Linked DNA regions of Danio rerio. The protein of the gene in region 1 interacts with the protein of each later gene in a pairwise test. Links are inferred from orthologs where the notes say so. Each region holds a gene or a part of one and is shown on either strand. Other genes may lie near its edges.

What was found.
Region 2: the proteins of exoc5 (region 1) and rab14 interact in binary tests that used the Homo sapiens proteins (3 or more experiments, as listed by UniProt). The two-hybrid records come from large-scale screens. The link is inferred for Danio rerio from reciprocal best matches to the Homo sapiens genes EXOC5 and RAB14.

Annotation. Positions count from the first base shown.
Region 1 is NC_133192.1:49,403,777-49,407,609, reverse strand, and holds part of exoc5 (exocyst complex component 5), read left to right. Parts: intron 1-87; coding exon 88-174; intron 175-256; coding exon 257-365; intron 366-2,290; coding exon 2,291-2,506; intron 2,507-3,833. UniProt on the Homo sapiens protein: Component of the exocyst complex involved in the docking of exocytic vesicles with fusion sites on the plasma membrane.
Region 2 is NC_133180.1:69,331,396-69,335,228, forward strand, and holds the end of rab14 (ras-related protein Rab-14), read left to right. Parts: intron 1-1,292; coding exon 1,293-1,323; intron 1,324-1,421; coding exon 1,422-1,599; 3' UTR 1,600-3,244; downstream 3,245-3,833.

The DNA.
Region 1 (3,833 bases):
GTTTGTCCCTCTTTGTTTCACTAGCTTCTATCATTTTTTTCCCTGTGACTTTCTTTTTGACATTTGTCTGAACTTTGACTCCTATAGCTCCTCTCCTAAGTTGACGGAGTGCTTGCATAAGAAGAAAGAGGTGATCGAACAAATGGAAGTCAAGCTGGACACTGGGATTGATCGGTTGGTTCAGAGTAATCCTTGACTTCATTGGTGGCACTGAATGAAATTTTAGTGAATTTTACTCAAGTTTCTTTGCTTTCAGGACACTGAATTGCATGATTGGCCAAATGAAGTACATCCTGACCACTGAACAGAAGAAAACCGACTTCAAGCCAGAAGATGAGAACAATGTCATGATACAGTACACTACAGTAAGATCTTAAAATCTTGTTCTGTATAGTAATTTACTCTGAAGAACAGGCAGGGAAATTAAGACTTAAAGGGACGGTTCAACCAAAAATCATGTTATTATTGCTTACCTTCATGTCTTTCCAAACCCCTGAGACCTTTATTTATCTTCAGAACACAAATGAAGATATTTTAGGTGAAATCTGAGCTCTCTAATCTTCCATAGATGGCAGGACTCATTCAGACTCCAGAAAAATATCAAAAACATCCTAAAGACAGATCATATGACTTTGGTGTTTCAATCAGAATATTATCAAGCTACAAGAATACTTTTTTGTGCACATAAAACAAAAAAAATAATTACTGTAGTAGATGTTTTTTTTCTCTTTGGTGTCGGTTTATTGTGCACGTTCATGTCAGCGTCTGTGCTTTGTTTCAAACAGAGTCATTTTTCATAGTTGGGTGAACTAACCCTTTCAGATTATTGTTCAGAGCTGAGCGATATGGAATTGGATTATTTATATAGTATCTGCATAATGTTTGTTGACTTAATCAAGCAACATTTTTGAATTTCCTTAGGAAGGAATGCACTTTGTGTGTATTTATTAACACAAAGTTAAATAAAACTTGGGTCCTTAAATTGAAGCGTTTCTGAACCAAATTCAATTATTCTGTCCCAGGGCTGTACAGTTGATCATTTTAGCATCAATATCTCAATGTGTGAATCCACAATAGTCACATTGCACAACGTAAAATGTGGAGTCATTTCAGTTAACCCATAAAAAGTGAAAGTCTATCAATTGTGTGTGTTTTTAAGACCTGGGAAGGCGTGAGCATTTGTTTGAAAGCATTTGGGAATTATAACATTTTTGCTGTAAAAACTAATTATTTCTGTATCTGAATACTGTTAGACTCCTTATAAATTTTCTATTGTATTATGAATGATTGCAAATAACTTTTATTATTATTATTATTATTAATATTATTATTATTATATAATTTTCTTACTTAACAGGGTGGACATTTTGATATAACATGGTAGAGTATTTGAGGGACAAGCTATTCACCTTATTCTTTGCATATGAGTGAGTGCAGCCATTTGAATCTTTTTTTTCTTGAGACTTCCGGTCTCAATCACTTCCATTCATTTTATTTGTTGAAAACTGCTCGTTATACTACTTGATGTTGCAAACTGATAATTTCCTATCATATTATTCTGTCGGTATAGTCATGCAAACACTTGTTTGTAGAGTAATTAGTTTGACTGTTTTCAGCCGTTTATTATTCGTAGTCATCTCTCCCAAATGAAACTAAATCAGAAGTTCTAAAACAATAGCAAAAACGAGCACACTTAAAAGAAGGTCAATAAACCTTTATTGAATTTATTTAAAAAAAATAAATAAAAAGAAGAGACAATCTGACATGTATTAAAATGCCAATATTTTATTCTGTAAAGGTCAGGTCACAAATTTAAAATTAAAATAAATCATAATGGCCATTTTAGAGCTTGAAAAACTACATGTTTTTATTATTTTTTTTCCACCAAAGGATCTGTTCCATCAAATAGTACTTTCCTAACACTTGTGCAGTTAAAGAATTGGTCTAAAAATAAATACAAACATGTGTAAATGTTTTTCATCGATTTCTTTTGAATTGCAAATAAATGCAAAAATTAGATTTTACTCAAACGCATAACTATAAATTGCAAATCCTGTGTGTCAAAATAACTAAAACTACATGTTAAAAAAAGGTTAAACTGGTGTCACATAACCTCATTTTGGTGTATTGTCAACAACATGTCTAATTATAATGTTTGATTAATATTTCTGTACAAAACCATTTTAAAAATATGAAATCAGGGCTGAGAAAATTGTTCAGACCTAGGGATGAAGGTCATGCCTGATTATCCTGTGTTTAATACACCATCTTTTCTGTGCTCTTTTTCAAGGCATGCTCAAAGGTGTGCGCCTATGTGGGGAAGCAGGTGGAGCGTGTGCGGAGGTCCATGGATGGTAAGAATGTAGACACTGTTTTGACGGAGCTGGGAGTGCGCTTCCACAGGCTCATCCATGAGCACCTGCAGCAGTTCAGCTACAGCTCCATGGGTGGCATGCTGGCCATCTGTGATGTGGCAGAATACCGCCGCTCTGCCAAAGATTTCCGGGTAAGGACCGGTCAAAGGTCATGCCATTGTGTAAATTTGACCCTTTTATGATTTTAAATAATGAGTTTACCCCAAAATATTAATTCAGTCATTATTAACTTAATCTTATGTTGGTTTATAAGACTTTTGCTAATCTTTAAAACAAGAATGATTACATTTTTAATTATTTGAATTGAAAGAAGTTCCTTCTAAACTTTGACTCTTTAAATAGACTCTTAGAAGAACCACATTTGTGGCCCCACAGAACATTTCAGAACATTTTTTGAAATTATCATTTTTTTAGTGTTAAGAACATATAGAATATAGAATTTTTTAAATAAATTTTGTGGAGTCCTTTGAATTGTAGAGCGTGTTCTGGACCATTAATGCCAATAAAGAAGATTTATTCACTAAAAGTAAGATCTAATAAACATTCAAAAATGATCCATACTGTAAAGACTATATTTTGTAGAGCTACGTAAAGTTGAAGTCAGAATTATTACCCAAAATTTAATAAAAATAATTTACAATTTTTTAAATATTTGCCAAATGATGTTTAACAGAGCAAGGAAATTTTCACATTATGTCTGATAATATTTTTTCTTCTGGAGAAAGTCTTGTTTGTTTTATTTCGGCTTCAATAAAAGCAGTTTTTAATTTTTAAAAAAACAATTTAAGGTCAAAATAATTGGCCCCTTTAAGCTCAATTTGTTTTCGATAGTCTACAGAACAAACCATTGTTATACAATAACTTGCTTAATTACCCTAACCTCCCTAGTTAACCTAATTAACCTAGTTAAGCCTTTAAATGTCACTTTAAGCTGTATAGAAGTGTCTTGAAAAATATTGAGTAAAATATAATTTACTGTCATCATGGCAAAGTTAAAGTAAATCAATTAGAAAGGAGTTATTATATAAAACTATTATGTTTAGAAATGTGTTGGATTTTTATTTTATTTTTATCTCTGTTAAATAGAAATTGGGGAAAAAAATAAACAGGGGAGTAATAGTTCAGGGGGGGTTATAATTCTGACTTCAACTGTATATGTTTTAACTTGAGAGAAGAGATTGAATCAGAACCTGTAAGACAATCTCACGACAATTCATAACATTTTGATGTAGTGGCTGATTCTTATGAATTCATACAATCTTATTAGTACTATTTAGTATGATTTTCACATCCCCAATGACGGTTGGGTTAAGAGGTGGGGTTTGGGTGCCACACCTTCTTTTTAAAATCTTACATTTTTGTACAACTGAATTCGAACAAATTAGTCACTAAACTGACAAAACATAAAATAGTTCAGTTTCCTCGTGAGATCAGGGTACAACCAAGTCATTTCTGGGA
Region 2 (3,833 bases), on another chromosome or scaffold:
CTTTCCTACCTTCAGTAATGGTCATTTTAGGTTCAAGTGGTATTTGCAGAGAATTAAATGCAAGCAGAGTACGTCTGTTTGTAAAGCATACAGCATCTGCTGTTAAAACTAAACTCTTAAATCAATTCAAGAGAGAAAAGCGATGCACTTTGAAAATCTCAGAGTCAAATTGTTGATTTATTTTTAACAAGAACTAATATTTAAAAATTCAAGACATTTTAAGACAGACCTGTTATTAATTGATTGTATATGCTTTTGTTTAACTCATACTTGCGCATCATTTCAACTTCATTTTAAAATGTTTAATAACAGAAATTAAGGAGAAAACTACATTACCCAGAAAATTCCATGCATGGTTTCCGCTACATTCATTCTTCCATGCTGGGGCACCACTCCAAAATTGATCCGCTATTGCTACATTGCAACTTTTCATTCAAAACATTCAGTCATGTTTTTTAAATGATAATCTAATAATTGCACCAAAACGTATTAAAAGGTAAGTGAATTATAACAGGGCAAACTTTTCTGTAACTGTAGTAGTGCTGTGCATCATTTCTTTAACCCTTTAAGATTACGTGCTGACTGACAGGTGCATGATGCGTGAGACCAGCAAACACAACGTATAACCATTTCGCATTACTTCAGGACGCATTAATATCGCTCTGTTGGTCTATTGGAGACATTTATAAATATTCCCAGCAAATCTAATAAATCTTGAAGACATACTTGTTACATAAATGCATTAAATCACACTTTAGCAGCGTTTATTTGAGAGCGCACAAGAAGATCTGCGCTTGAGCAGTGTATATTTGAGGGGGCGCGCAATAATTTTGTATATGAACAATGGAAATCGGCGCGCAAGCAAAGAGATTCGCATGCTCGTAGGCTATTACATAAATGCGATCGCGACATTTGTCATTGAAATAACGCCACAGGTAGTTGGTAGATCTGTGTAAAAGAGGCCTGCCACCACAGCTGGAAAAAAATCCAAGAGGAAACACTGCCACGGTCACAAAGTTGAATGTGATTCCTCTCATAGCTGGTTGGTTTAGTTCATAACACAAAACAGACTTTTTGTATTATATTAATGGGGAAAATACTTTGTACTGTAAAGTAGATGTGGTCTTAATTATAAGAGAAATATGAACAGGCTCTTCTAGTCAAAAAGGTGGAGTTCCACTAGTTATTCATTTAATGTTTCACTAACTTGAGCACAAGCTTGCTTGTTGCTAAATAAAATTAACTACAAGGCTAAAACGTTTAACTGTGGCATTTTTAATCTTTTGAAACAGGTTTGTTGTTCCTTGAGGCAAGTGCAAAAACGTAAGTGACTTTCAGACCATCTGCTGTCAGAGCCTCCTCTCTTTATCTGTCATAATATCCTTCACATTCTAGCTCATCTTTGCGTGTCTGTTCAACAGAGGCGAGAATGTGGAGGATGCTTTTCTGGAAGCTGCCAAGAAGATCTACCAGAACATTCAGGACGGCAGCCTGGACCTGAACGCAGCCGAGTCAGGGGTCCAGCACAAGCCCACCGCCCCGCAGGGAGGGCGGCTCAGCAGCGACGCACAGCCCCAGAAAGAGGGCTGCAGCTGTTAATGACCATGGAGACTTCTCTCTCTATCTCTCTCTCTCTGCTCCTTCCTCTCCCACAAATCCCACCTGTATCTAAAGCCTCTCCCCCCCGCAGTGTGATTGCTCGCAGAGGCCTGACGGCTCTGTGTGATGGAGGTGTAACATAATTCATTCACTCATTCCTTCCTTACCGCTCTCTTCTTTTCCCTTCTTCTCCTGTCTCCTTCCCTCACTTGTTTTGCTTGTTTCTCATACACGCACACATCCCAGTGCTCCCAGCAAGCACTCGAGGGAGGACGGCGGCTCCTCTGCTGAACACTAATCCTAAAGAGAGAAGATGATTGTCGATAAACTGAAGAGATGCTGGGTTTATCCTTTTACAGACGTGGTGATGTGCATAACTATAAACTAAACCATCTCAATGTACAGGAGCTGTCTGAATACTAGCGTAATGTAAACCAAACATTGGCAAACCTTATTCATGATGTCACAGGTGATCAGAGGACATGCGTCAACACTGTATGTAACATTGTTTTTGTTAAACAACAACGATGACGAAAATCTATAACTAAACTATTGTATTCTGTTTTAAATTAGTTTTGTTTCTTTCCAGTTTCACATTCAATCACCAAATATTTATCCCTGTTTGTACCTATTCAGGAAGTAATATACATGTAATATACAAGATTAGTATTGTTTTGAGAGGAATTCCAATGGGACGGTCCATTGTAAAACAAACAAAAAAAAGGTCGATTCAGACAGTTATTTTAACCTAGTAACTGTTAGAGTAATATATTGAAGAGGACAGGATGATTTTTAGGTCGTGAAGAATGTTTTCCGGACTTTGCAGTTTTGATTTGGTTTTTCCTGAGGGTCTGGAGCTTGTTTTGTGTTTATTATAGTCTTAAGTCTGTCCAGCTTTCAGATCTCCTGTTTTCGAGCAGCTTTAAAAATCAAAGCAGCTTAAGAAGCAGACCGACAGGAGAATATTCCAGATTCAGGCCCTCGTCATATCAACACATTCACGTTGTTTTTACATTGATGATTTCAGTTGCCTTATGATTTGCTTTTGTTCACTCTGATGTGCTGCCCGTTTTACTCACGATGAAAGTTTTATCGAATGAATTCCAGCGATTTTTGCCTTTCATATGCATTCCATTAAACCGATTTCCAAACACTGATCATGTTTTCCGCTGAGCTGAGTTTCTTAAGCATGATGCATGGCTTTTTACAGGCATCAGGGTTCCCCCTTCCCTATAGGGAGTCATGAACGCCCTATAATCTATGAATATGTAACAAATTTGCCACCATAGCATGAGAAACATCATTATGGAGAAACTCGGCCCACAAACTTACCACCACAACTACAATGGGCTGATGCGTCAACCAGTTTGGTTCTCCATAGAGGCACATTTGCAATGAACAGATACAAAGGCAAAAACCCGAGCACTCCAAATTTGATTTCTTTTCTATTCAGATTTGTGGTAGATTTTAGGTGTGTTTTGTAAACTGAGAATCCACTTTTAATTTGCTCCTGTTGTCTTGCTTTATTTTTTTTCACATCTTAATGACATCTGCGAAAATTAATCTGCTCTTGAACTCAAGTTTGTCTTCTGTAAGTGACTTTTTCTTTGTAATTATGTTAATAAAAACAATACTGTATACTGTGTTTCTCTCCGCACACTATTGATCCGCACTTGTGTATGAGCAATAACGACATATGATACAGCTCGACGAGAAGATAGAAAACTCATTGTATTGCACATATCTGAATACAAAGTGTATATAAAGAAGTGCTGTAATAAATACTCTGCATATCTTGGCATTGGATACACGTTAATTTGTGACAACAATGTAAAAATGAACATTGATTCCGAAGGGCATTCGGGGTTTTGTCCCCGCAGTTCACAATGAGTGTTACGATAAGGTGAAACCCGAAACCTTCCTTCAAGTGTCCGTTTCACCTGTAAACACTCAGAACACCCACTACTTTACCATGAGCAAGCAGTTCAAAGGCACACTTTTGTAAAAAAAAAATATTTCACAAGGCACCAAATCAGAGGTAGAGAATAAACTTCCATCTTCATTTTACCTCAGGTTTCAGCTTCCCTATTTGTAGCGGGAAATCGACGGTCAACTATTTTCTTTTTTAAGCTGTAGTATATCCAGCCTCAGTGCTCTTTCTGGTACCTGCAGAATCAAACTGCTCCTCTGACTGCATCTCCTTTCATAATCTGACAGAAATAATGGGACTTTTT